4 linked regions of the Callithrix jacchus genome follow. The protein of the gene in region 3 binds, or shares a complex with, the protein of the main gene of each other region. Links are inferred from orthologs where the notes say so. Each region holds a gene or a part of one and is shown on either strand. Other genes may lie near its edges.

Region 1 (6,461 bases), on a different chromosome or scaffold from region 3:
CATTGCTCACTGCAGCCCTGACCTCCTAGGTTCGAGTGATCCAGCTGCCGTGGCCTCCCAAAGTGCTAGGATTCCAAGGGTGCGCCGTGACACCTGGCCAATTTTTCAAAAGAAATTTTAGTGGGCATAGTAGGTGTATAATTTATGGGGCATATGAGATGTTTTGATACAGTTATGCAATTTGGGGATGTCTGTTTCTTGGTGGTTGTGAAGATTATGAGAATGGGTACTGGCAAAAAGTTCCTAAACTAGTTGCTGGTCTTACTTGGTGAATGCAATAGTGGGAAATTAAACAGAATTCGTAAAGTATGGCAGGGCCCTAAGACTAGGCTGAACCAAGATTACAGGCAACAGGATGCAACTGGGAGTTTCTGAATGCAGGATTACTGCAGCAGTCACCTTGGTAACCCCAGGCAGGACAGATAAAGGCAGTGGAAAGTATTTTTAGGGAATAAGCCTGAGTCACTTCCACTTGCTTTTCTGTTAATCCTGCTGGAGTGAGCCATGGGTTTGCAACAGGTAATTTGGTGAACACTGGTCCAACCTGGAAACCTCTGGCACTAGTAACACCACTTTAATCTGTTTTTAAACATGGTATTCACATTGAAAACTCCCCAGGTACACTTCTTTCTCTCCACTGCTTCTGAAACAGTTCAAGAAACCTTTTGCTTCCTTCCTGAGGGTCGATTCTTTTCATTAAAATTAGTTTCAGTGTTTTTTTGAGCTAGTTTTTTTTTTTTAAAAACAGAAACACACAAACACACACGTAACTTTAGAAATGCTGAGTTTTGGGCCGGGCTTGGTGACTCATGCCTGTAATCCCAGCACTTTGGGAGGCCTAGGTGGGTGGATCACCTGAGGTCAGGAGTTCAAGACCAGCCTGGTCAACATGGTGAAACCCCATCTCTACTAAACATACAAAAATTGGCTGGGTGTGGTGGTGAGCATCTGTAATCTCAGCTACTCAGGAGGCTGGGGCAGGAGAATCGCTCGAACCCAGGAGGGGGAGGTTGCAGTGAGCCGAGATCGCACCAGTGCACTCCAGCCTGGGTGACAGAGTGAAACTCTGTCTCAAAACAAAACACAAAACAAAAGAAATGCTGAGCTTTTTTTGAGACAACCTCTGTCACCCAGTCTGGAGAGCAGTGGTGTGATCTCGGTTCGCTGCAACCTACACCTCCGGGGTTCAAGTGATTCTATGGCCTCAGCCTCTCAAGTAGCTGGAATTACAAGCAGTTTTTTTTTTTTTTTTTTTTGAGCTGGAGTCTCACTCACTCTGTTGCCCAGGCTGGAGTACAGTAGCGCAATCTTGGTTTACTACAACCTCTGCCTCCCAGGTTCAAGCAATTCTCTTGCCTCAGTCTTTTGAGTAGCTAGGATTACAGGCACCTGCCACCACCCCTGGTTAACTATTTTGTATTTTTAGTAGAGATGGAGTTTCACATATTGGCCAGGCTGGTCTCGAACGCCTGACCTTGTGATCAGCCCCCTTCTGCCTCCTAAAGTATTGGGATTAAGGGCATGAGCCACAATGCCTGGCTGCCTGACTGATTTTTGTATTTTTAGTAGAGACGGAGTTTTGCTATGTTGCTCAGCCTGGTCTTAAACTCCTGACCTCAGGTGATCTGCCTGCCTCAGCCTCCCAAAGTATTGGGATTACAGGCAAGAGCCACTGCACCTGGCGTTTTTGTTTTTTTTTTTTTGGATAAAGGGTCTCCTTCTGTCACTCAGGCTGGAGTGTAGTGGTGTGATCATAGCTCGCTGCAGCCTTACTCCTGGGCTCAAACAATCCCACCTCAGTCTCCTGAGTAGCTGGGACCACAGGTGGAAGCACTATGACTAGCTAGTATTTTATTTTTTTGTAGAGACAGGCCCTGTTCTCCTTATGTTACCCAGGCTGGTCTCAAACTCCTGAGCTAAATTGATCCTTCTGCCTCAGCTTCCCAAAGTGCTGGGGATTAGAGGCTTGAGCCACCACGCCCAGCTGTTTCCCCACCTCTATAATTTAATGGTATTACTCCTGCCAGCAGTACAGTTCTGCATGAGGCTTAGCTACTACAGAAAGCTCAGCATAATACCTGACAGGGTAATTACTCCATAAAGTGTCCAGAACAGAACAGTGTCCACTATATAAAAGTTTACACATCCTGGCCAGGCACGGTGGCTCACGCCTGTAATCCCAGTATTTTGGGAGGCCAAGGTGGGTGAATTGCTTGAGGTCACGAAGTTTGAGACTACCCTGACCAATATGGTGAAACCCCGTTTCTACTAAAAATACAAAATTAGCCAGGCATGGGCGTGTGCTTGTAGTCCCAGCTACTCAGGAGACTGAGGCAGGAGAATTGCTTGAACCCGGGAGGTGGAGGTTGCAGTGAGCTGAGACCGTGCCACTGCACTCCAGCCTGGGCAAGAGCATGACACTCCACCTCAAGCAAACAAAAAATCAACTTACAAGCCATTACAATCATTATCCATGATTGGACATCCATCAAGCTCCCCGCAGCAGACCACCTCATCCATGCTCTGCTTCGCATTGTACTAGTGCTCTGCACTCCAGTTCCTCCAGCGAACTCTCCAAAAGCAACAGCAGGCTCTCGCACACGGCCAGCAGGCACTCCTGCTTGTGGAAATGGGCTTCTTATAACAAATGATGACACCCAGATTCTGAATTCCGGATGGAAATTGCGGGATCTCATCCGCACTCTGCCAGGAATCTTTGAAGAAAGGACTGGAAATTGTTACTGCAGGCATGCGATGAAGGAGAGACTAAACATGTATATTTTATTTCATCTGCTAAACGTCAGAGAGCAAGTTAGACAACATTCCACTACGCATCAAAGGCCATCGAAGTCTGGGTGGAAGGACAAACTCCAGCTCCACGTCACTGGTTTAAGTTTCTTCCTCTGAAAGACAAAAAATGTAAGAGAAATGAGCCAAGTTGTGGGATACGCCGTTCACTTTCCTTTGGTCACCAGCTGGTGGAGCAGGAGAGACAACTTTGAGGCTATATAACTAACCCGAAGAGGACCTTTTCCCTCTAGACCACCGGCTTCCATCAGGGACTTGCATCATCTTTCTCCACCTCTGCCGCAATCCGGCCACTTCTCTAAAACACCACTATCCTCCCCAACCACTTAATGTGATCTGAAGGCTCCGGAAGAAGCTCTTGGAGCCAAAGTGAATGCTTCTCCCTATGTAAGCCTTGGAATTCTCAGTTTTTATCAAGGTTAAAGATCACAATGGCCACAGAGCTTGCTCCCTCACTAGCTCACAGACCACTCTAGACCTCAGAAAGTGGGTTGCTGCACACCTTCTTCTTCCTCTTCCTCCTCCTCCTCTTCCTCCTCGTCTTCATCAGAGCTGAAGGTGCCATCGGGGAGGCTGTAGACGCGGATGACCTGTTTGTTGGGGTCCTTGAGGATGAGGTATTTGCCCTCCTCCAGCTTCATGCAGATGTCGATAACGCAGCGCAGGATGCCCCAGGCATTCTCCACGCTCAGGTTGATCTGGCTGGCAAACTCATTAGGCTTGAACTGCTGGGTACCCAGGATGACGTGGCGTGAGGAGTCTTTCACATGGTACCGAGACACATAACTGGGGGAAGGGATATCAGTGGTCAGAGCAAGGCGGCACAGAGACAGCAACACTTGGGCTCCAATGTCAATTAAGTGGTGATACCTGGTCCACTGCTATTTTCAAGGGAAATGGAAAACTCAGTCTCTGGTTCAGTTCTGGATTTCACTGACACCAGTGCCTAGTTCAGGACTCCACTCAGCATGCCTGTTGTTTGGCATTTGCCTCCTAACTGACCCCTCCATCTCTACCCAACCCCTGTGTCTATCTCTGCCAATCAGTTTTCCCAACCCCTGTGTCTATCTCTGCCAATCAGTTTTCCAGTACATGGGGAGGGGAGGGTCACCTCTCTACCCAGAGCCGTCCTTTCACAAGATCAGCTCCCAGCTCCTGCACAGCGATCTCACCCAAGCTTAAGGTACTCAGATCCAGCCAGCAAAGCACAGCAGGTCCACCGGGCCAACTTGTAGCTGTTGTTCTTCAGCTCCGTGGCAATGACGGCCCCTCGCTGAGAGTCCAGCTTCTGACGCCAGTCAACGCCGTTACAGTGCTGCAGGAGAGCCCCAGTTAGAGAAGCAGAAGCGAGCTCCGAATGCTCAAGGCGCTGGGACCTCCTCTGGCAGAGAAGGAACTCCCCTGTCTGCTTGCTTAGGAAGTGGGTAGGTACACACTAAACCAGGCTGTTATCATTTAAGAGACAAAGACCTGGTCCCTTCCCTTGCACAGCCTGTCACATAGCAGGCACTCAACAACTTACAATTCCTGTCTTCTAAAAGCTCACCTAGACAGGTAATGATGGACACACGGACATAGGCATGCACTTTAGAAGTGCCATATGAACAGCAGAGGTTTTACTCTGTGTTGCATAGTAAGGAAGGGCTTCACAGAGGATGTGTAACAGTGAGCCAAATGGAGAATATTGGCAAAAGTGCAGCTGCAGACAGGAGGCCCTGATCTGAGAGGCATGTTGGGATAGGAAAGATAGGTGGAGTCGGCCTTAGATGGGGGTGGCAGCCCGCAGAGGGTGCAAAGCTGAGCCTGACATTTTATACACACACACAGTAGAAAGGGACCCCAGAGAGATCCTCTTTTCTACCCATATCATTTAGACGTGGGAAATTGAACCCAGAGTGAAATGACTGGTCAAAGGTCACAGGACAGAGATTCCCAAACTTCCTTGGTTCATGGCAACCACAGGGCAAAAGAAATACTCAAGAATTCCTTTTATTTAGCTAGGTTCGAACCACATAGTAGTACTCTGACAAGACGTCTCTATGTTTCCCTAAAAAATTTAAAATATCCTGCAGCACCCCTGTGAGTTTGCTGTGGCAGTTTTTTGAGATGGGGTTTCACGATGTCACCTCAGCGCTATCCTCCCACCTCAGCCTCCCGAGTAGCTGGGACTGTAAGTGCATACCACTGCATGCAGCTTGCTGAAGCACTTTAGAGAGTCCTTCTACCAATCTGCACTGCTGATGAAGCTGTGTACTGGACAAATGATTGGCAGAGATAAATCAAATATAGAAGTTGGGTGGCGGTAGAGAGGTCAGTTAGGAGACAAATGCCAAACAGGCATGATGAATGGGGCCCTGAACTAGGGTGATGGTCAGTGAAATCCAGGACTGAGTCAGAAGACAGCAAAGCATTCTACTTTGCTAACACCGAAACAGAAGAATGTAAAAAAGGAGCTGGAGATGTTGGAGGCTCAGAGCTTAGGTAGGAGAAAGACAACGTTGATGGACAGCGGACCCAGAGGCAATGATGAGACTGAGGACAAATGGAAGGGGAAGGTGTTTTAGCAGAACAACAATGGGAAGTCTAATAAATTAGAGGAGATTTGAGAAATTATTTTCAACGAGTTTATAGTTGAAGCTTGTGGTGGGCAGAATTCTAAAATGACCCCCAGTGACCCTTGCCCTTACAGAATCTCCTCCCCTTGACTGTGGGCAGAACCTATGGCTAGGATCAAATATTACCCTCATGATTATGCTACCTTTTATGTCAAAAGGGATTGTGCAGATGTAAGGCCCCAAATCAGTTAACCTTAATATACACTACCTGGCTGGGCCTCACCTAACTCTATGAGATTACAGGCATGTGCCACCAAAGTCTGGCTAATTTTGTATTTTTGGTAGAGATGGGGTTTCTCCATGTTGGTCAGGCTGGTCTTGAACACCCGACCTCAAGTGACTGACCCGCCTTGGACTCCCAACGTGTTGTGATTATATGCATGAGCTATCACGCCTGGCCTGTATGAGTCTCTTAAATTTAGGTGTAAAGGTCAGACACAGAGAAAGCCAGAGACCTGAAGCACGAGAATGGGCTTGGAAGTGGCTTTTCTTCCAGAACCTTTAGATGAGAACTCAGTTTTCCTGATACTGTGATTTCTGCCTTGTTTGGATTTGTGTCCCCACCCAAATCTCTTATCAAACTGTAATCCCCAATGTTGGAGGAGAAGCATGGCAGGAGGGGACTGGATCACGGGGGCGGATTTCCCCCTTTGGTGCTGGTCTCGTGGTAGAGTTCTCGAGAGGTCTGGTTGTTTAAAAGTGTATAGCAACTTCCGCCTCTCTCTTTCTCCTGCCCTGGCCATGGTAGATGTGCCTGCCTCTCCTTTGCTTTCTGTCACCATGGCAAGTTCCTGAGGCCTCCACAGCCATGCTTCCGGTACAGCCTGCAGAACTGTGAGCCAATTCAACCTCTTTATAAATTACCCACTCTCAGGCATTTCTTTATAGCAGTGTGAGAATGGACTAATACAAGAACCAAGCACACAGCCCTATAAATTCTAGCCTATAAAACGTGAGCTAACAAATCGGCACTGTTAGATCACTAAGTTTCTGTTAATTTGTCATAGAGCAAAAGAAAATCAATACAAAGCTGTGTAA
Region 2 (7,930 bases), on a different chromosome or scaffold from region 3:
TTCACTTTTTTTTTGGTCATGTCACCTTGATGCCCAGGCTGGAGTGCAGTGGCCAGAACGTGGGCAACCTCCACTACCTCAGCCTCCTGAGTAGCTGGGACCACAGGACCACAGGTGCACACTACTACGCCTCGCTATTTTTTTTTTTTGTAGAGATGGGGGTCTCCCCATGTTGACCAGGCTGGTCTTGAACTCCTGGGCTTAAGCGATCCTCCCCGTTCTGTCTCCCAGAGTGCCATGGTTACACATATAAGCCACTGTGCCTGACTCCAATCCACCTTTTTAATGGCTGCCTGTAGATCATGGCCTCTCACATTTTTTTTTTTTAGGCTGCAGGCACATGCCACCATGCCAGGGTTGTGGGTAACACCCCCTATGCGCACCAAGGAAGAATTGTCCAGACCCCAAGCACAGTTAGTGTCTGAAGAATATCTTAGTTTATAGAGTTATTACTCAGCTATTTCCTTTATATAATCCTTTATATATAATCATATATTAGTTTCTAGAATTAGTACCTGAGGTATAACTTACTGCTTACATATACCTAGCTTATATAATCATACTTAATACTTATATCTAGCATACTTAGTTCTATATAATCTTTCTTTTCTTTCTTTTTTTTTTTAATTTAATTTTTTAACAAGAAAAGATGGGGTTTCACCATCATGGCCAGGCTGGTCTTGAACTCCTGACCTCAGGTGATCCACGCACCTCAGCCTCCCAAAGTGCTAGGATTACAGGGGTGAGCCACCACGCCCACCTATATAATCTTTCTATACTCATATAGGTATTGTAGTCAGAGCTGTACTGACATTTAGTACTGATTTATAGAATCCTTCTATATAACCATATAGTAGTTTGTAGTAGGAGGAATGCCTAGAGCAGTCACATAACAGAAGCAGTACATGGGAAAACAGCCAGACCAGGACAAGAACCAAAGACCCAGGGGGTGGCGTCCCTGCCTGAAACGGCATACATTGTATGGCAGGCTTGGAGCAAGAGCCTCTCCTCCTGATAAAGGAGTTGTAGTACCTTGCATCCAGTTCCTGTGGAAAGTAGGCCTCAGGACTGAGAAAATAACTGAGGGAGAACCCCTCTGGTGTGACCAGTCATGGCAGCTGTACACCCTGTCAGTCTTTTCTCACTTCTGTGCTAGCTCAAATCATCCTCCCATAAATATCTTAAGAGAAGAGCACAAGTCTGTCAGCTCCCACTGCATTGGCTTACAGTATCCTTCTATTAGAAATCCTTTGAGGTCTCCAGCCCCCAGAAAAGAAATGTTGTGCATGACACCTGTCACACACAGCCCACCTCCTTGCCTTGGTGACCTAATGGGGGTGGACCCCTTTTCTGTACACGACCCTCTACTACTGTAGAGGCCCCCTACTTCTCACAGCCCACCCCTCTGCCCAAGTGACATAATGGGGTGGCCCCCTCACTTGTGACTCATGTGATTATGTATGCCCTATTACTAAGCCTATAGATGATGACCTCACTCATGACCCTGCCCTCTGCTTGTACCTAATAAATACAGATGCTTCTGGGCATTTGGGACCTCCGCTGATCTCCACTCACAGGTGGCATGGCCCCCAAAGTCCAGATGCTCTTCACCAGTGTCCTGTCTCTTTGCTTCTTGGATCCTGCACCTCAGCACAGCATAAGGGTCACCACGACCCTGTGGGGCCCAACAGCCCTACAGGGGTAACTTTTGTATTTTTAGTAGAGACAGGTTTTCTCCCCATTGGCCAGGCTGGTCTCAAACTCCTGACCTCAGGTGATCCACCCGCTTCGGCCTCCTGAAGTGCTGGGATTACAGGTATGAGACACTGGGCCCGGCCGAAGGACCATCTTTATAAAATGTTTATTTGTAGACTCTGAAAAGATACACCAGAAAAGGGGAACAATGGTTACAGCTAGAAAGAACAGAGTGAAGCGGCTGATAATTGTACCTTGTTGGTTTTTTTTTTTTTGAGACGGAGTTTCGCTTTTGTTACCCAGGATGGCGTGCAATGGCGCGATCTTGGCTCACCGCAACCTCCGCCTTCTGGGTTCAGGCAATTCTCCTGCCTCAGCCTCCTGAGTAGCTGGGATTACAGGTACACACCACCATGCCCAGCTAAATTTTTGTATTTTTAGTAGAGATGGGGTTTCACCTTGTTGACCATGATGGTCTCGATCTTTTGACCTCGTGATCCACCCGCCTCGGCCTCCCAAAGTGCTGGGATTATAGGCTTGAGCCACCGCGCCCGGCAATTTTGGTATTTTTAGTAGAGACGGGGTTTCACCATATTGGTCAGGTTGGTCTGGAACTCCGACCTCAAGTGATCTGCTCGCCTCAGCCTCCAGAAGTGCTGGGATTACAGGCGTGACGCACCGCATCCTGCCCCCGTATCTACCTTTTCATCACACGAATGTTGTACTAAGTTCCTGTATTACATATTTGAAAATAAATTGCGAATACAACAAAACAAAATCCATGAAATGGCTAGCCCTTTAAATTTCTGCGGGGGAGCCCAGTGTGGCCCAAGGGCGGAGTTTAGCCCATCTTGCCCTTTCTGGTTAGTGTACCCGTTCCGTTTATCTCCGACTGCGCCAGTCAGTCAGGTCAGGGACCACTGGAGTTTTTTCTATAGGACACGCACTTGAGCAAATGTCACTTGCTCTCTCCAACTTCAGTTTCGCTAGCGCCTACCTCAGGAAGCCTCCCCTCATCTCCCGGCCCCTGCCGCCGCTAATGTTATCCTTTTACATTCAACCTCATAATGCTGCTTTCTGTTGCAATCACAGTGTCGAAATTTATTCACATGTCTATCTTTGCTACTTGACTGAGGACAAAGATACACCTTATACCTAGCGTAGACTCAGGAGGTCCGAAATTGTTCTGCGAAAGAAAAAAAATGTGCTGGCTTCAAAGGGGCTCACAGGAAGGGAAAAGCCTGGAAGACTGAGACTCTCTTCGATCCCTTCATTACTAACGCAAGGCAAACATGCCAGGGACATGCGGCTCTCCCCTCTAGTTCCTGCATCTACGTCCGACGCCCGCCGTATTGTCTCGGAAGTCCGGCCACAGCCCCCACCGGCGGGCATGGCCTCAGAGCCCTCTTCTGAGTGCGGCATGGGTATTCGCCGGCGGCCATGGACGGTGATCACACTGACGAGAGGGACGGCGCACCCTCGGGTCTGAGCGGGGTAGGCGTTGGCAGGGGAGGGGCGACGAAGACTGGCGAGGTTCAGGCGCCAGGCAAAGGACCGCTCTATTAACTTCCCGGCACTTAGGTTTCCTGCTCGGGGCCGAGAGTCTGCAACCTTTCTCCCCGCTCCACGAAGTCCAGTACTAACCTGCGTCGTAGGGACCTGCACGTCGTACCCAGAATTCCTATGCCCCCTGCGCCCTCTCTCCGCTCCTCCTTGCGCTCCTCCCTGCGGCCTTCCCTCCGCCCCTTCCTGCACCCCTCCATCCGCCCCTCCGCGCCGCCGACCGCGGTCTACGCCCCCTTCTTGCCTGCGCGCGTCGCCGCAGCCTCCTGAGGGGGCGTGGCCTCAGCTCGGCGCCCGGTCAGCCACGGTCCCAGCCTGCTTCGCGCTGGCCAACGAGAGCAAACCCAGTGACTCACCTCCGCGGCGCTAAGTCCTCCCTAGCTCTCCGCCTCATACACGCTCACACCCGGCTCGAGATGGCGGCGGCGGCGGCGGCGGCGGCCGGGGGGGACTCCGACTCCTGGGGTGAGGAGAAGTTCCGGGGGCAGGGCCCGCCCGGGCTGTTGCCGACCCCACGCTGTGGCAGGCACTAACGCGGCTTGCTCTCTTCCGTAGACGCGGACGCATTCTCCGTGGAAGACCCAGTGCGGAAGGTTGGGGGCGGCGGCACTGCCGGCGGGGACCGCTGGGAAGGCGAGGACGAAGACGAGGACGTCAAGGTGGGTGCGGGCTAGGGCAGCGGGGAGCGCAGGAGCGGTTTGACGCTGTCGCTGGCCGACTATGGGCCCTGGGGGGCCGACTATGGGCCCTGGGGCGCCGCCCGGGCCTGCGGGCTGTGGATCCAGCCGCGAGCCTAGGGCCCGGCGATGCTCTCTTTACCTCCGCTTGCCGGCCATGTGGGCCGAAGACTGGCAGCGTGGCCTTCCGGACTCTCTCGCCGGTTGAGGGTCTGCGCTCCGGCCTTTATCTCACCTGCCGGCTGGCGACGAAAAGTGACAGCATCGGCCTGGTCGGCCCACGTGCAAGCTTCGCGGTCCCGAGCCTCTCGCCTGAATGAGACCGGGAAGTTGGGAATTGAGCCCCGTAGCTTATCCATATGGAAAGTTTTGAAACTCGCCTGCTTTTTCGAGCTCAGGTCATCCCAGGGCCAGTAACTCATTTGTGACCCTGACGTCTACTTATACAGTTTGTTCGAGGGATTAAATGAGTGAAATACTGTAGTTGAATTTCAACCTTTTTTCCCCCCACACTGGACAGCTAAAACAGTAAAGTGAAATAACTTTTGGCTCTTCCTTCCCCCACTCTGTGATAAAAAGGATGAACTGAACACTGAGCCCACAGTTAGTGGACAGAAACCTGGGTAGTCCACACCGTGACCCGAAAAATGGGAAAGATGACAGTTACTCATAGACATATGTATGACACCTAAGGAAATATTGAAGGTTTGGTGGTTGTAGTAGATGACTGTCCTGTGGTTTTTGTTGTTGTTTTGTCTATGCCTTGTAGATAATAATTTTTACCTCAGTCGTTTGATTTTGAAAACTCCGAAGGGCTCATTATACAGCATTAAGTGACATTTACTTCTGCGAGTGTTTTGTTTTTTTGTTTCTTTTTTTAACAGTAGTTACAGGTCTCAAGTCCAGAATGTTAAGTTTCTTACTGGGTTCTCAAAATCTTGTTATGTTTGTGCAGATAAAGTTTTGTGTGAAATGGAAAATTTTCTTTTGTGGTTTTGCTTAATTTAGTGAAGTTTTTTCTCCCAATTTATAAGCACTAATGAAGAACGCTACAAATCCTTTGCCTCCGCTGAAAATTTAAGCTAGATAATCACTATGAACTTAATAGGGCTGTTGCTTTGAGTTTTTCCCATTTCTCCCCAGTCAGATGAGGTTGGATGTGTGGATGTCCAACTTATTGACAGCCTAGGTTCAAGAACGTTGTAAGCTTTGCACACATTGAAGTTAATAAATCGACTGATTATTGTTTGAAAGCACTTAGATGCTTTATTTACATGTTGTAGAAACATGGGACTAGACTGTGTTACCAACCTCATTAAAGATAGTAGTTACCCCCCTACATTGTAGCAATTTTCACTTTTGAGTCTTGGGTTCATATTGATCCTTTCATTTTTTTTCCGTGCATATAGGAAGTAACAGTTAAGACGTCTATTATGAAATTTGGGAATAAATTAGCAAATGCAGAGAAAAGATTAGAGATATTAGGAAAGAAGTTGCAGAAAATGAAGTTTTAGTGGAATGGTCTAGACTAATGTCATGGAATAACCTCCCTGGGATTAAGGAATCTAAGTGGTGTTGATCCTGATGAATATAATTCTGATGACTTGCAACAAGTTTGGAGATTTAGAAGTTATAAGGGACCACAAAGATCATCTTGTCCAATTGCTCTTTTAGTCCTAAATTTCTTTTTTTTTTTTAATTTAAGCGAATTGCATCTATCTATCTATCTGTGTCTGTCTATCTATCTAATCCTTTGAGACAAGGTCTTACTCTGTTGCCCAGGCGGGAGTGCAGTGGCTTGATCTCTGCTCACTGCAACCTCCGCCTCCCAGGTTGAAGTGATTTTCCAACCTCAGCCTTCCTAGTAGCTGGGATTACAGGTGTGTGCCACGGTGCCCAGCTAATTTTTGCTTTTTTTTTTTTTTTGTAGAGTCAAGGTTTCGCTGTGTTGCATAGGCTCGTCTCAGATTCCTGAGCTCAAAGTGATCTGCCCGCCTTCACCTTCAAAGTGCTGGGATTACAGATGTGAGCCACTGTGCCTGGCCTATTTATTTCGAGGGGTTATGAGACTGGCTAATTTTTGTGTTTTTGGTAGAGATAGGGTTTCCCGATGTTGCCCAAGCTGGTCTTGAACTTTTGCGCTCAAGTGATCTATCCTCTTAGGCCTCCCAGAGAGCTGGGGTTATAGGCATGAGCCGCCACACCTGGCCATATCACCAAATTTCTGAATTCTTATGTTTTTGTACTTTTTGTGAGGAGCTGCAGACAAGGCTTAGTTTCCATGAGGTCTTCTGTTTATGTCAAAAGTACTTAACCTTTAAAAATACAGGTTTACTGTCATTTGTAATGTCCTGGGAAATGAAAGGAAAACTGATGTCTTTGTTATTATAATTTGCTCCAGCATTTTATTATCATTTAGTAGACCTAGTATTTTGCTGTTCTTGACTTTTCAAATAGCTATCTGGCAGTGGCAGAAGTAGACTTAGGTGAAACTGTACAACTGTTAATATATATGGAGGGAAAAGGCTATACTTTTTCCCAGTTAAAAAGATGAGAACTTGGGAGCAGACTTTTCCATCACCCTGGCTTTATTTACCTTTTTTACCATCCTGATAGTTGTGAAGAGGCAATGGAAAGAATTGTTCACTTGGCATATATGACTCCTTCCCCATTGCTGATATGATATGTAGGATGTGTTGACTGAGAAGGCAGTGAGTACCTACTGGAAGCAAAGACAACATAACTTTTACTCTATTTTACTAGTCTCCCAGCATGTTAGAAGCTACACTTATTCAAAGAGTGCGGCATTTGGAGAAACTTATAGCTATATTCAGCCATCTCAGGCATTTGCTTCTGTAACCTTACAGCATTTCTTTTAAAAGAACATGAAGAGGCTGAGGCAAGAGGATTGCTTGAACCTAGGAGTTTGAAGCCAGCCTGGGCAATGTGGCAAGAGCCCAACACATTTAAAGAGAGAGCGATCCTAAGGAACAGACTTAGTTGAGTCTGTCTCATCCTACTTGTTCACCCTCTGTTAGGATCCTATTCTAATAAATAGTTTAAATCTACCAGATAAGGACATTTTTCAAGTGTTGGAAACAACTTCTGAAGAACAGGATCTGTAATTTTTTTTTTTTTGAGGTGGAGTCTGACTCTGTTGCTAGGCTGGAGTGCAGTGGCGCGTTCTCGACTTACTGCAACCTTTGCCTCCCTGGTTCAAGCAATTCTCTTGCCTCAGCCCCCTGAGCAGCTGGGACTACAGGTGTGTGCCACCATGCCCAGCTAATTTTTGTATTTTTAGTAGAAACGGGGTTTCACCATGTTGGCCAAGATTGTCTTGATCTCCTGATCTCATGATCTGCCCGCCTCAGCCTCCCAAAGTGCTGGGATTACAGGTGTGAGCCACCGCACCTGGCCAACAGGAGCTGTTTTACAGAAATGTGAAATTACTCAGAAGGTGGGCATTTTGCCAGAAAATGGGTATTTTGAAGAGAGTGAGTGTATGTATGTGTGTGTGTAACTTACAGAAAATTTCAAACATGCAGTAGAAACATTTAATAAGTCAGTGACCAATCTTGTTTCCTCTATCCCCATTTTCCTCCTCCAACCAGATTATTTTCAAGAAAATCTCAATCGTATCATTTCATACTCTGCCAGTTTCTTTTCTTTTTTTTTTTTTTTTTTTTTTGAGATGGAGTTTTGCTCTTGTTACCCAGGCTGGAGTGCAGTGGCGCAATCTCGGCTCACTGCAACCTTCGCCTCCTGGGTTCAGGCAATTCTCCTGCCTCAGCCTCCTGAATAGCTGGGATTACTGGCACGTGCCACCGTGCCCAGCTGATTTTTTGTATTTTTAGTAGAGACAGGGTTTCACCATGTTGACCAGGATGGTCTCGATCTCTTGACCTCATGATCCACCCGCCTCGACCTCCCAAAGGGCTGGGATTACAGGCGTGAGCCACCGCGCCCAGCCTACCCTGCCAGTTTCTTTTGTAAGC
Region 3 (7,837 bases):
TGTTGTTTTTCATTTTTGTTGTTTTTGAGACAGGGTCTCACTCTGTTATTCAGGCTGGAAGTGCAGTGGTGAGGTCACTGTTCACTGCAGCCTCAACCTCCTGAGCTCAAGTGATCCTCCCACCTCAGCCTCCTGAGCAGCTGGGACTACAGGCACAGACGACCAAGCTCGGGTAATTTTTGTATTTTTGTTGTTGTTACTTAGGCTGGGCTCCTAGGCTCAGGTTATCTGCCCACCTGAGCCTCCCAAAGTGCTGGAATTACAGGCCTGAGCCACTGTGCCTTGCCCAGAGCTGCCTTCTTAAGTTTACATACCTTACAAGGAGTGTCATGGCTGTTAAGGTCTGGTTTGCAGCAGTAGATGAGGGAAGGAAGCAGCATGGTGCAATGGGAGAGTGAGGGCATCAGAGTGAGGCAGATCTGAGTTTCCCTTGTAATCTTGGTTAGGATATTCAAACACTTACCTTGTTTCCCCACATGTAAAATAGTGATCGCAGTATACCATTTCTTTTGTTGGGTTGTTGTAAGATGAACTGTGATAATGCATGGATAGTCCCTGGCTAAAGTGGATGCTTCATAAATAGTGACTATTATTCTGGTTATTAGAAAGGATGGATATTCAAGGATATAGGCAGAGAGGGTGATGAAATAAAAAGATCCTAATATTGTAATGTGATTAAAACTTGGTGAATGGCTGACTTGTAGTCAGCTGGCCAAGAGTTCAGCATTTTTCCACAGCAGTGAATGCATGAGCCCAGAGGCTTTCAAATTCTTTTTTTTTTTTTTTTCAGACAAGAGTTTTGCTCTTGTCGTCCAGGCTGTAGTACACTTGCGGTGATCTCAGCTCACCGCAAGCTCCGCCTCCTGGGTTCAAGCGATTCTCCTGCCTCGGCCTCCGAGTAGCTGGGATTACAGGCATGCACCACCATGCCCAGCTAATATTGTATATATATATTTTTTTAGTAGAGATGGGGTTTCACCATGTTGGCCAGGATGGTATTGATCTCCTGAACTCATGATCTGCCTGCCTTGACCTCCCAAAGTGCTGGGATTACAGGCATGAGCCACCATGCCCGGCCAAGCCACCAAGCCTGGACTGCAACTTCATTTTCTAAGATAAAGGAAATTTATGTATATGGAGCCCTGTGCGCCAGGCACTCTCCTAGATGTTTTTCATTCATTCATTTCTTTTTTTTTTTGAGATGAAGTCTTTCTAGAGATAGAACCAGTAAGTTACAAAGGAAAAAAAAAAGGAGAAAAAAAGATGATGTCTCGCTCTGTCGCCCAGGCTGGAGTGCAATGGCGTGATCTTAGCTCACTGCAACCTCCACCTCCTGGGTTCAGACGATTCTTCTGATTCTTCTGCCTCAGCTTCCTGGTAGTGGGGATCACAGGTGCACCACCACGACGCCTGGCTATTTTTAAAAAATTTTTAGTAGAGATAGGTTTCACCATGTTAGCCAGGCTGATCTTGAACTCCTGACCTTGTGATCCTCCCACCTCAGCCTCCCAAAGTGCTGGGATTAAATTTAATCCTCACAATCCTATGAAACCAACTGTATAAAACCAAAGCTCAGGCTGGGTGTGGTGGCTCACACCTGTAATCCCAGCACTACTAAAAATACAAAAAGAAAAAAAAAAAAAAACCACCTCTACAAAATTACAAAATTAGCTGGGCATGGTGGCGCATGCCTGTAATCCCAGCTACTTGGGAGGCTGAGGCAGGAGAATCACTTGAACCCGGGAGGCGGAGATTGCAGTGAGCTGAGATAGTGCCATTGCACTCCAGCCTGGTCCACAAGAGTGACACTGTCTCAAAAAACAAAAACAAACAAAAAACCAAAGCTCAAATGAGGGACTTGCTCATGGTCAGGCAGGTAGCACAGAGTGGAACCAAGAGTGTGAAAGCCAGCACTTGGCACAGCAGAATGAACCTTCCTTCTTCGTCCGCTGTCACACAAGACTGCCAGGCTTCAAACCAACCCCAGTGCCTAGCAACATACTCAGAACCAGCCCACTGTGCCCTTCTTGTTCAGAGAAGAGGACACTAGGAGGGAACTAAGACTAGTCAGCCCTCTCTGACTGATGGGAATGAGGTGTTTCAAGCTCCACCCAACAAATCACTCTTCCAGGTGGCCTCAAACACTAAGCAGAACAGTTCCAAGCCAGGACCCACCTGTCGATGCCAAGGTGAGGTAATAGAGAAGAGAGCCACACTGGTTGAGGAGAAAGGGCATCAGGTACTGGAAAGAGGAGAAACCTGCATCAGTGTGAAGGCCTGAATGAGCAGCACTGCCTTCTTTGAGCTTCTAGCCTATGCCTTTTCTTAGAGGGAGTGAGGGTTATAAGACCCAGAGAACATTAGGCCCTCTAAGGAGGACCCTTCCAGGACAAAGAGGGAAACAGACTGAACTCTGTGCCTCTGCTCAAACTTCCCTCTCCCTCACCTCTGTTGGTTCCTATCCTGCAAGGCCCTGAGACCAATGTCAGCCCCTCCAGGAAGCCTTCCCCAAGTCCTCCATATACAGCCTCCCTCCTCTGAACTCCTCCCCTGCAGGGCCAATTTGAGCCCCAAGCCCTCCCTCTGGAAAGGCTCACAAATGTTGCCTTTCATAACTGGAGGAATCACAATAATAAAATATGAACAATGGTAGCCATAGATAGAGCACTTACTATGTTCTAGGCCCAATGCTAAGTGCTCTGTGTATCTCACCTAATTCCCGCAACTGCCCTATCAGATGTTTATTATTATAATCGCCATTTACAGATGATGAAACTGAAGGACAAGTGACTCTGGAGAGTTTCTAGTAAGTAGTGGGGCTGACACAGACCTGTTTGACCCCAAAGACCAAATTCTTGGCGGCAACTCCCCTTTGAGAGGGGACTTTCACAGACGCACCTCAATATTCAAGAAGAGGGTCTTCATCTCCTGTAGCAACTGTCGGGCCCAGGTCGGCTCATGAATCCGCTGCAGGCCTGCAGAGGCTCGCTTCAGCAGCGGCTGCGTGCCACCCCACAGAGCGGCCACCAGCACCAGAGCCAGCACCTGCCCTGAATGCAGACGACTGAGTCACCCTGATCCCCACCCCAAACGGCCGCCCCGTCCGCTCCGCCCGCTCCAGGCTTCCTATCCCCAGCTAGCCGACCCCACTTCCCTCCTTCGCTCTCTTAGCTTCGGCTGCGACTGGCGGCTAGGGAAGGCCCCGGGAGGCTGGGGAGATGAATCCAGGAGTCCGGCTCTGGGGTTGTAGCAGGGATTGGGGTTGGAGCGGGGGACGTGGAGCAGGAAATGAATTCGAAGTGAGGGTCGAGAAATCCATGAAGGGGCGGGGCCGGCTACCTACCCAGAGACGCCGCCATGGTAACGCTGCTGTCTTCTACTTCCGGGAGCGAGGGGGCGGAGACCCACAATCCGGAAGTGGTTCCAAAGCCTTTTCCGGTACTACTCACGTTGCGGCCTTCGTGTCATCGCCGGGATGGTGAGTTCCAGAGTTGGGGATACTGCAGTGGGGGTCCTGGTCTGAGGCCGGTACCCAATTCTGGGCACTGACGTTACCGTCTTGTCCCCACAGAAGCCGATCCTGCTGCAGGGCCATGAGCGGTCCATTACGCAGATTAAGTATAACCGCGAAGGAGACCTTCTCTTTACTGTGGCCAAGGACCCTGTGAGCGTCGGCTGAAAGGAGGGCTCGGGAGGGGGCCCGGAAGGGGCGAGTTCCTTATGCCAGGACCTTCCTTAGGAAGATGGGTGGACATGCCAGTTTTGCCGATTGGGGGAATCAAAGAAACGGCCCATTTTGAGATGTAGGGAGAAGACATCCCGGGGGTAGGTTGGGAGAGTACCGGACAAAGTGGGGGAGCACTCGTTTGGCCGAGTGCAGTGGCTCACGCCTGTAATCCCAACACTTTGTGAGGCTGAGGGGAGGATCGCTTGAGCCCAGGAGTTAGAGACCAGCCTGAGCAACATAGTGGGACCCATATCTACACACACAAAAATTAGCCTGATGTGGTGGCTCGAGCATCTGGGCTCAGCTACTTCGAAGTCTGAAACGAGTGGATCACTTGAACCTGGTGAGCTGAGATCGTGCCACTGCACCCCAAGAAAAGCCAGGGACCACTGTGGAAAGGGGATGAGGATGAGGGTCAAGCTTGCCCAGAGAACGGGATGCGACCTTTCAGGGGATGATCTAACCTTTTAACCAGGATAGGTGCAGGATGTGTTATTCAGACACAGGGGATTTAACTGAGGGTGTCTCTACTCTCATTTTCAGTCAATCCCATTCTGCTACTCAATGCAAAACAGTCCCTTGTGATACTGCCTTTTGAGGCACCTCCATATGGAGGAAGTTAACTAGTGGTTAAAAGTGGGGACTCTGAAGTCAGACAGACCTGATGTGAATCCTGCCTCCAACATCTACTACTACTAGCAGTGTGATTTTGAGTATGTTACTTAACCTTTCTAAACTGCAGTTTCCCTTTTTTTTTTTTTTTGAGACAGAGTTTCGCTCTTTTTACCCAGGCTGGAGTGCAATGGCGCGATCTCGGCTCACCGCAACCTCCGCCTCCTGGGTTCAAGCAATTCTCCTGAGTAGCTGGGACTACAGGCGTGCGCCACCATGCCCAGCTAATTTTTTGTATTTTTAGTAGAGACGGGGTTTCACCATGTTGACCAGGATGGTTTCGATCTCTTGACCTCGTGATCCACCCGCCTCGGCCTCCCAAAGCGCTGGGATTACAGGTGTGAGCCACTGCGCCCAGCCTGCAGTTTCCCTTTTTATAAAACTGGATACTTACAGGATTGTCTTTAGCATTAAATGAGATAATGAAAGGAGCTTGGCAGAGCACCTATACATTTCAGTGCCTAATGAATGTTAGTCACTTACATTTTAAATTCCTTAGACATTATTTTATTGGAGCCTCACAGCTACCTATTGAAGAAAAAATTATTGTCCTGGCCATTTTCAAGATGAGAAAACTGAAGTTCAGAGTAGAGAAGCACTGTTTTTGAGATCATACAGTGAAACAGTGGCAGAGCAGGCACTGGAACCCAGTCTTCCCTACTACCAACTGCTCCCACTTAAAGATACTGTTTTTCTAGACTGGAGCTCAACTTGGCCTTTTACTCTTTGGAGCCATTGGGAGTTCCAGGAGAGCTGTGGCTATGAGGATGCTTTTGCAAAGCGCCTGACTTCTCTGGTGCTTATCTTCAGGAAGGGAGGAGAATCCAGGAGTTGGTCTTTTTACCAGCTTCCTGCTATTTCCCAAGAAATGAGGAGAAGAGGGCAGAATCAGCCTGGTTTTGGCTGCTGAGGGTTCTTGGGGCAAAATAGGAAGCCATTGCTTTACTGGGACATGTATCATCCTGTGTTTGACTTTTCCAGATCGTCAATGTATGGTACTCTGTGAATGGTGAGAGGTTGGGCACCTACATGGGCCATACTGGAGCTGTGTGGTGTGTGGACGCTGACTGTATCCTTCTTTTGGGTCTGAATCCGTGCTGCCAGGGTCTGCCAGCAATGGAGAGGCTGAGTTGGAAGTTGGGAGTTGGGGGTGCTGTTGAGGGCCTACAGAATGATATCTCCTACTCCCTGGACTCTTCACTGGTTGAGGAAACATTCAGGACAAGTTCCAGTTCTGGATAAGGAGGTAAGGGGGGAAGAAGGGCTCTTTCGGGCTGAACAGGGAGATGAGAGGACAAGGGCTCAGGTGAACTTTGTCACGCTTCTTAACAACTCTTCAGGGGACACCAAGCATGTCCTCACTGGCTCAGCTGACAACAGCTGTCGTCTCTGGGACTGCGAAACAGGTAATCTGGGTTCATTCACTTTTTTAGCAAATATTGAGGACCTACAGTGTAAACAGGTCCTAGGAAAACAGATGAAATCTATAGATAGTTTTCAGTCTAGGGAATAAGAGACAAGATAATAAGAAAGATGAGAAAAGAAGCCTTACGGTAAGATATACGCCATGATGGAGGAAGCATAGATTACTATGGGAGGCCAGAGCCAGGCAACTGACTCCCTGGAGTGGGGATGGGAGCAGCCTGGGAAGTTTCCTAAGGTAAATCATATGAGCTGGGCTTAAAGGATGAGAAAAGATGTCATCACAGCTGGGCTTGGTAGCTCACACCTGTAATCCCAGCACTTTGGGAGGTGGAGGCGGGCAGATCACCTAAGGTCGGGAGTTCGAGACCAGCCTGACCAACATGGAGAAACCCCGTCTCTAGTAAAAATACAAAATTAAAAAAAAATGAGCCAGGTTCGGTGGCTCACGCCTATAATCCCAGCACTTTGGGAGGCTGAGGTGGGCGGATCACCAGGTCAGGAGTTCAAGACCAGCCTGGCCAACATGGTGAAACCCTGTCTCTACTAATAGAAAAATTAGCTGGGTGTGATGGGGCGCACCTGTAATCCCAGCTACTCAGGAGGCTGAGGCAGGAGAATCACTCAAACCCGGAAGGTGGAGGTTGCAGTGAGATGAGATCGTGCTACTTACACTGCACTCCAGCCTGGGCGACAGAGCAAGACTCCATCTTAAAAAAAAAAAAATTTTTTTTTAGGCTGACTCTGGGCATGCTGCCTATGAGTTAGCCCTGCTCTGCAAGAAGCTTTAAAAAAAAAAAATTCTGGCCAGGCATGGTGGCTCACCCCTGTAATCCAAGCGCTTTGGAAACCAAGGCAGGCAGATCACCTGAGGTTGGGAGTTCAAGACCAGCCTGACCAACATGGTGAAACCCCATCTTTTTCTTTTTTTTTGAGACGGAGTTTTGCTCTCGTTACCCAGGCTGGAGTGCAGTGGAGTGATCTTGGCTCACCGCAACCTCCGCCTCCTGGGTTCAGGCAATTCTCCTGCCTCAGCCTCCCGAGTAGCTGGGACTACAGGCGTGCTCCACCATGCCCAGCTAATTTTTGTATTTTTAGTAGAGACGGGGTTTTACCATGTTGACCAGGATGGTCTTGATCTCTTGACCTCGTGATCCACCCGCCTCAGCCTCCCAAAGTGCTGGGATTATAGGCGTGAGCCACCGTGCCCAGCCGAAACCCCATCTTAAAAAAAAAGAAAAAAAAAATTCTGGAATAGCTGGACCAGACCATGTTCACTTCTCTTTAAAAACAATGAAAATATAAAAATAAGCTGGCACGGTGCCTCATGTCTGTAATCTTAGCACTTTGGTAGGCCGAGGTGGGCAGATCACCTGAACTCAGGAGTTCAAGACCAGCCTAACCAACATGGTAAAACCCCATCTCTACTAAAAAATAAATAAATAAAAATAAAAATAAAACTTAGCTGGGTGTGGTGGTGCATGCCTGTAATCGAAGCTACTCGAGAGGCTGAGGCAGGAGAATCATTTGAACCCGGGAGGTGGAGATTGCAGTGAGCTGGGATCGCACCATTGCACTCTAGCCAGGGCAACAAGAGCGAGACTCTCTCAAAAAAAAAGAAAAAATAGTAAAGATGTCATCACTTTGGCACATGCAGGAGTGAAAGTGTGGAGAGTGTCTGTACAAGTCATCTAATCTAGCTGGAATTCCTGCTTCTTGGTGGAGTGGGGGTAGGGGGGTGATATACATAGTCATGGAAAAGATGAGGCTGGAGAGTCAGGCTAAGGCCAGAACAGGTCTTGAATGCCAAATTCAGGAGTTTGGCTTTGTTCTGTAGAATGTGGCAGGCTGTGGAGGTCCCTGAGCAGGCAAGAGTGTAGGTCTGTTTAGTTTTAGCAAGGTCAGAGAGCAGTGGGAGGTACAGGAAGAGCCAAGACTGAAGACGGGAGCCTGTTAAGGTAGGTTTTTTTGTTTTTTTTTTTTTTTTGAGACGGAGTTTTGTTCTTATTGCCCAGA
Region 4 (7,130 bases), on a different chromosome or scaffold from region 3:
TACCTCTTAGTGTCTCCAGTTTGCCCCACACATCACTAGCAGGTCAGTCCTTTTACACCAGTTAGGATCAAGTTACCCAAAACGTTTGATGCAACCTTGATGCCTACATGTGCACGTGCCACGCAACAACGTTTTAGTCAACCACGGGCCAAGGGCCACATATAGGATGCTGACCCTACAAGATCATAATGCCGTACTTTTATTGTATCTTTTCTGTTTACATACACAAATATAAGTCCCAGCTACTCAGGAGGCTGAGGCTGGATCATCACTTGAACCCAGGAGGTGGAGGTTACAGTGAGCTGAGATCACGCCACTGTGCTCCAGCCTGAGCAACAGAAAGAGAATTCGTCTCAAAAATATATGTATCACTTTGGGAAAAAAAAAAAGAAAAATTATCTGGTGTGGTTGTATGTGGCTGTAGCCCCAGCTACTTGGAGGGCCGAGGTAGGAGGATCACCTGATCCCAGGAGGTTGAGGCTGAAGTGAGCTGTGACTGCGCCACTGCACTCCAGGTGGGTGATCCATTGGTAGGCACAATCGTATAGAGTGCTCTACAGCCTTAACTCCTGGCTTAATTAAAACTGTATTTTGGATGGTCTTTACCAAGAATGGTTGGCATAGATGCCAAGGAGTCAGCCGAGTAGAAAGGCCACTAGTGGCAGGCAGAGTGCCCCTTACCATCTCATACTTATATGTGGTCCTCTGGAACATGCTCTTGGTCCTCTGGATATAGAGGAGGATGTTGGCAAAGACCCGGATGGCATCCTGGTAGCGACGCATCATCAAATATGCAAATCCAACATAATAGTACGTGGTGACCTGGCACTCTGGAACACGGGAATACATACTCTGCAGAAGGAGATGGAACAAACATCCATGAGTGCCAATTCATCCTGGACAGAACCAGAGGCAGAAACACCAAGAGAAAAGCTTTCCCCGCAGAGGCCCTGAACTACCCAGAGGAAGCTCTGGAGTCCCAGAGTTTGAGAATGGATCTTCCTATTCACAAATTAAGTTGTATGTTTTGAGGAATCCATTTTCTTAGCTGTAACAAGAAGGTTCTGGATGAGGAATCCATAAAATCTCTTTGAGCTCTAAAATGCTATACCTCTCAGTTTTGTTGTTTTTCCTTGCTTTTTCAAGTAAGTCCTATAAAGGAACAGACAGTTAAGACAGAAACACATACATGCACATGAGCCCACCACCAAATAGTAAGTATCTGTAATACTGTTCTGTGATAGGAAGAACACAACAGCTAATCAGTGAACATACTATCTAAGAATTAAATTTTTTCTTTATTCTTTTTTTGAGAAAGAGTCTTGCTTTATCACTTAGGCTGCAGTGCAATGGAGCAATCTCAGCTCATCGCAACCTCTGCCTCCTGGGTTCAAGTGATTCTCCTACCTCAGCCTCCTGAGTAGCTGGGATTACAGGTGCCTGCCACCAAGCCCAGCTAATTTTTTTTGTATTTTTAGTAGAGACAGAGTTTTGCCATGTTGGCTAGGCTGGTCTCGAGCTCCTGACCTCAAGTGATCCACGTGCCTCAGCCTCCCAAAGTGCTGGGATTAAGGGCGTGAGAAGCCACACCCAGTCTTCCTAATTCAAAGATCAGCAAAATGTGAAGAGTAAAAAGCTGCCACTATCATTCCATTTTGAAAACAGAATAGGGCCGGGTGGCTCAAGCCTGTAATCCCAGCACTTTGGGAGGCCAAGGCGGGTGGATCATGAGGTCAACAGATCAAGACCATCCTGGTTAAAATGGTGAAACCCCGTCTCTACTAAAGATACAAAAAATTAGCTGGGCATGGTGGCGCGTGCCTGTAATCCCAGCTACTCAGGAGGCTGAGGCAAGGAGAATTGCCTGAACCCAGGAGGCGGAGGTTGTGGTGAGCCGAGATCGCGCCATTGCACTCCAGCCTGGGTAACAAGAGTGAAACTCCATCTCAAAAAAAAAAAAACAGAATAAAAAACTGTCATTTACTACCGATATCGTCCAGGTACAGCTTTTTACCACTCATTTGCCCAGTTGTAGTCTCAATTTTTTTCTTTTTTTGAGACAAAGTGTCACTCTGTCACCCAGGCTGGAGTACAGTAGCACGATCTCAGCTCACCGCAACCTCCACCTTCTGGGTTCAAGTGATTCTCATGCCTCAGCCTCCAGAGTCGCTGAGATTACAAGTGCCCGCCACCATACCCAGCTAATTTTCTGTATTTTTAGTAGAGACCGGGTTTCACCATGTTTGACGGGCTAGGCTCAAATACCTGACCTCATGATTCGCCTGCCTCAGCCTCCCAAAGTGCTGGGATTACAGGCAAGAGCCACTGGACCCGGCCTAACTTTTGCATTTTTTAGTAGAAACTGAGTTTCACCATGTTGGACAGGCTGGTCTCCAGCTCCTGACCTTGTGATCTGCCCGCCTTGGCCTTCCAAAGTGTTGGAATTACAGGCATGAGCCACCATGCTCAGCTTAGTCTCAACTTTCAATGGCCTGAGGGAAGAGTCCTCTCCTCTCCTAGAAATCTGTCCTAAGAGAGCAGAGTGGTTCTCTAGAAATAGACATTCTGGCTCCGACAAGAGGGGCCAGAGGCAGTACGCATCACCTTTTTGTTCAGTTCGATGTTCTCCAGCACCTTGATGGCCTGGTAGTAATCCCCCAACAGGGAGTGCAGGCGGAGAAGCCCCACCAGGCTGAAGTAACCAAGCATCTTGTAGAGGGAGTGCCGCCCATACTCCCCAGCCACACTCTCGGGGTCACCTGAAAGAGACAGGACACCGTGAATACTCTGGTAGGAGGAAAGTAAAGGAAGGCAGACCTGACCTATGAATGTTACTCAGCAGATATCTCAGCAGCTGCCAGCCTTGAAAGCTTCCCTCGGTTGGGAATAACTTCAAAGGAATACCAAGAAACAGCAAAACCAACCTTATGCTACTTAAATTTACCAATAGTTGCCTTCAGGGTGGCAGTTCATTTTGCTTTTTATTTTTTATTTTTGGTCCCAACACATGAGAAGGCCCCCCTCCTCAGTAACATATACCCACCAAGACCCCTCCCTTCAGGTGTACACAAGGGCAAAGCTATTTTCCTAATAACACTAAGATGCTATTAGCCCTTCCCACTGAGTTGACATCTGCATGATGCAATATCAGCTAGGTAAAACTACTTTCAACTTAAGCACAAATCAGACAGTGACACCAAATTGTACCAATAGTCATTATACTGTTCCTTGCTATGCACTGGCACTAGAAGAACTTGTCCTTAGCCAGGCATGGTGGCTTGCGCCTGTAATCCCAGCTACTTGGGAGGCTGAGGTGGGAGGATGTACTTAGCCCAGGTACCACATCTGAATAACCAGAGTTTGTACTTTTTGGAGACAGAGAGCTATAAAAGGGCTATTGCATTCTGGCCTGGGTGACAGAGAGAGACCCTGTTCAAAAAAGAAAAAAAAAAAAAAAAGAGAGAGAAAAAGAAAAAAATCCTTTTTTCATGGAGTACCATTTTCACTTGAAAGAACAACTGATAAGAGCTGAGCACAGCTCACACCTGTAATCCCAGCACTTTGGGAAGTCGAGGCCAGTGGATCACTTGAGGTCTGGAGTTTGAGACCAGCCTGGCCAACATGGTGAAGCCCCGTCTCTACTAAAACTATGAATATTAGCCGGGTGTGGTGGTGCATGCCGATAGTCCCAGCTACTGAAGAGGGTGAGGCAGGAGAATCGCTCGAACCCAGGAAGCAGAGGTTGCAGTGAGCAGAGATTGTGCCACTGCACCACTCAAGCCTGAGCAAGACTCCATCTCAAAAAAAAGAGATAACTGATACCAACTCTGGCAGACATTTTCACAAAAATAAAAAATGAAGTAAACTTGTCACACCTCAATGAAAAGAACTGACAGTGTTTGCTAACAATAAAAAAATTCAAAGGTTGAGCTCAGTGGCTCACTCCTATAATCCCATGAGTTCGAGATCAGCCTGGGAAACAAAGTGAGAACTTATTTCTACTAAAAAAAAAAAAAATCAGCCAGGTATGGTGGTGCACACCTGTGGTCCACACTTCAGCCTGGATGACAGAGTAAGACCTCATCTAAAAATAAAAAAAATTCAAGCTTTTAAGCAAAAATGGAATTTTGTAAAACTCTTGGGCCGGGCGCGGTGGCTCATGCCTATAATCCCAGCACTTTGGGAGGCCGAGGTGGGTGGATCATGAGGTCAAGAGATCGAGACCATCCTGGTCAACATGGTGAAACCCCGTCTCTACTAAAAACACAAAAAATTAGCTGGGCATGGTGGCTCGTGCCTGTAATCTCAGCTACTCAGGAGGCTGAGGTGGGAGAATTGCCTGAACCCAGGAGGCGGAGGTTGCGGTGAGCCGAGATCGCGCCACTGCACTCCAGCCTGGGTAAGGAGCGAAACTCCGTCTCAAAAACAAAACAAAACAAAAAAACAACTCTTATCTGCCACTACAAGCTCTACAGCTTATGAATAAATGTTCAGCTGATATCAGTGGCAAAGTAACAAATGTGACTTTTTAAAAAGATGTAATAAAATGTGTCAACATTTGGAAGATCTTTGTAACTCAGTGATCCAGTATTTTTTTAAAGAATCACACAAATCCCAGCACTTCGGGAGGTTGTGGCAGGCAGATCACTTGAGCACAGGAATTCGAGACTAGCCTGACCAGTGTGTGAAACCTTGTCTCTACTAAAAATATAAAAATCAGCCGGGCATGGTGATGCATGCCTGTAATCCCAGCTACCCGGGAGGATGAGGCAGCGACACCAAATTGTCAAGAATCACTTGAGCCCAGGAGATGGAGGTTGCAATGAGCTGAGATCATGCCACTGCACTCTGCCTGGCTGAAAGAGCAGACTCTGTCTCAGAGGGAAAAAAAAAACCACACGCGGACGACACGGATTTAAGAAACTCATTCAAATTATAGGAGTAATCAACAACGTTAATATAACAAAGGAAAGCCAGGCAGGGTGGCTCGCGCCTGTAATCCCAGGAACTTTGGGAAGCAGAGGGGGCAGATCACGAGGTCAAGAGATGGAGACCATACTGAACCAACATCGTGAAACCCCATCTCTGCTGAAAAAATACAAAAACGAGCTGGGAGTGGCGGCGTGTGCCTGTATTCCCAGTTACTCGGGAGGCTGAGGCAGGAGAATCACTTAAACCCAGGACGTGGAGATGGCAGAGAGTGGAGATCATGCCACTGCACTCCAGCTTGATGACAGAGTGAGACTCCATCTCAAATATATATACATATATGTATATGTAACGAAGGAAAAGTTCACTAACACAGCCTCAGATTCCTCACTGCACCTAATGTGTATGAAACTGCCACTGGTTATTCCAAAGTAGTACAGGGTGAGTATTCTATAAATGCTTGTGACCAGAAGCCTTTTGGATTTTGCATTTTTTAATACCTGCATATGCCTATCTTTTTTTTTTTTTCAGACAGAGTCTCACTCTGTCACCCAGGCTGGAGTGTAGTAGTGCGACTGGCTCACTGAAACCTCCGCCTCCTGGGTTCAAGCTATTCTCCTGCCTCAGCCTCCCGAGTAGCTGGGATTATAGGCACCCGCCACCACACCCAGCTAATTTTTTATATTTTTAGTAAAGATGGGGTTTCACCATGTTGGCCAGGCTGTTCTTGAACTCCTGACCTCATGTGCTCCGCCTGCCTCAGCCTCCAAAGTGTTGGGATTACAAGCGTGAGCTTTCTGTGCTTCAAACCAAAGTGCACACTGCAACAGATTGAATGCAGAAGCAGACATGAGAGGCCAGGTATTTTGCATGAAGCCAGCCACAGAGAGATCTACAAAAATGTCGCTCTTTACTGAAAAAAAAATTTTTTTTGAGACAGTCTTGGTGTTGTCCTGGGTTGGAGTGCAATGGTGCAATCTTGGCTCACTGCAACCTCCACCTCCCAGGTTCCAGCAATTCTTCCTCAATCTCCCAAGCAGCTGGAATTACAGGCACGAGTCACCACACCTGGCTAATTTTTATATTTTTTAAGTAGAGACAGGGTTTTGCCACGTTGGCCAGGCTGGTCTTGAACTCCTGACCTTGTGATCCGCCTTCCTCAGACTCCCAAAGTCCTCAGGCTAGGCGTGAGCCAGCATGACTGGCCGAAAAAAAAAATTTTTTTTTTGAGATGGAGTCTTGTTCTGTTGCCAGGCTGGAGTGCAGTGGCATGATCTCGGCTAACTGCAACCTCCGCCTCCCTGGTTTCAAGTGATTCTCCTGCCTCAGCCTCCTGAGTAGCTGGGATTACAAGCACATGCCGCCATGCCTAATTTTTATATTTTTAGTAGAGATGGGGTTTTACCACGTTGGCCAGGATGGTCTCAAACTCCTGACCTTATGATCCTCCCGCCTCAGACTCCCAAAGTGTTGGGATTACAGGCATGAGCCATCGGGCCCAGTCCCCCATTTTTTTTTTAATATACATTTTGGGGTTCTCAATATTTTAACAGGCTAAAATGGGCTCTGACACTAACACGTGTGAGAAGTGCTTATCTAAACAAAAGCGCTGCAGACACAGTAGAAATGTTTACAAATGCAAATCTCAATGTGCTGGTTCAGTTTTTTGGCCAACAGACTCCCAAGCCCCACAGCCCCCAGCATGAACACTCTGCTGCTGTTCGTACTCAAGCACCTAGGAAGAGTCAACAGCCCGTTGCCTAAGACGTGGTGACTCGCCTGCTCTACCTGCAGTATCTATTCCTTTGGAACAGATGGCAAGCAGCTGGAAATTCATAGGTAGCGGCTGTCAGCCTGCTGTGCTCACCTCCGCTTGTGTATACCTCCAACTGTCGGTTGATGTTGGATTTGTCTACTAGGGAATGAAGGACATTCAGGACACTGTGAACATTCCAGATTTTGGGATTGGAACGAAGGAAGTCAATCTCCTCCTCTGACTTCTTGGCAGTCTTGCAGCGGTACTGACTGAAGGACTGGAACTGTGAGTAGGAAGGAAACACACGGTAGTGGTATGAGCCCACAGTGATCGTCCCCGTGCACAGTGCTGCAAAGGACACAATGCTCTGGCTCTGGACAGGATGAGGTGACGGTGAGACAACCACTTCTCATTCTAAACAGAAGTTGCTAATTTTATGATAGAA

The links.
Region 1: EIF3I (region 3) and EIF3D share a complex: the UniProt entries of both Homo sapiens proteins name them as parts of the eukaryotic translation initiation factor 3 (eIF-3) complex. The link is inferred for Callithrix jacchus from reciprocal best matches to the Homo sapiens genes EIF3I and EIF3D.
Region 2: EIF3I (region 3) and EIF3J share a complex: the UniProt entries of both Homo sapiens proteins name them as parts of the eukaryotic translation initiation factor 3 (eIF-3) complex. The link is inferred for Callithrix jacchus from reciprocal best matches to the Homo sapiens genes EIF3I and EIF3J.
Region 4: EIF3I (region 3) and EIF3L share a complex: the UniProt entries of both Homo sapiens proteins name them as parts of the eukaryotic translation initiation factor 3 (eIF-3) complex. The link is inferred for Callithrix jacchus from reciprocal best matches to the Homo sapiens genes EIF3I and EIF3L.

Annotation. Positions count from the first base shown.
Region 1 is NC_133502.1:207,463,144-207,469,604, forward strand, and holds the end of EIF3D (eukaryotic translation initiation factor 3 subunit D), read right to left. Parts: intron 4,124-6,461; coding exon 3,981-4,123; intron 3,595-3,980; coding exon 3,311-3,594; intron 2,904-3,310; coding exon 2,890-2,903; 3' UTR 2,761-2,889; downstream 1-2,760. UniProt on the Homo sapiens protein: mRNA cap-binding component of the eukaryotic translation initiation factor 3 (eIF-3) complex, a complex required for several steps in the initiation of protein synthesis of a specialized repertoire of mRNAs.
Region 2 is NC_133509.1:32,260,019-32,267,948, forward strand, and holds the start of EIF3J (eukaryotic translation initiation factor 3 subunit J), read left to right. Parts: upstream 1-3,585; 5' UTR 3,586-3,674; coding exon 3,675-3,723; intron 3,724-3,813; coding exon 3,814-3,917; intron 3,918-7,930. UniProt on the Homo sapiens protein: Component of the eukaryotic translation initiation factor 3 (eIF-3) complex, which is required for several steps in the initiation of protein synthesis.
Region 3 is NC_133508.1:68,827,449-68,835,285, forward strand, and holds the start of EIF3I (eukaryotic translation initiation factor 3 subunit I), read left to right. Parts: upstream 1-3,425; 5' UTR 3,426-3,475; coding exon 3,476-3,478; intron 3,479-3,571; coding exon 3,572-3,664; intron 3,665-5,380; coding exon 5,381-5,468; intron 5,469-5,739; coding exon 5,740-5,805; intron 5,806-7,837. Other genes in the region: TMEM234 (transmembrane protein 234), read right to left, coding at 2,176-2,242, 2,899-3,050, 3,344-3,359. UniProt on the Homo sapiens protein: Component of the eukaryotic translation initiation factor 3 (eIF-3) complex, which is required for several steps in the initiation of protein synthesis.
Region 4 is NC_133502.1:208,876,773-208,883,902, reverse strand, and holds part of EIF3L (eukaryotic translation initiation factor 3 subunit L), read right to left. Parts: intron 6,969-7,130; coding exon 6,797-6,968; intron 2,760-6,796; coding exon 2,605-2,759; intron 853-2,604; coding exon 682-852; intron 1-681. UniProt on the Homo sapiens protein: Component of the eukaryotic translation initiation factor 3 (eIF-3) complex, which is required for several steps in the initiation of protein synthesis.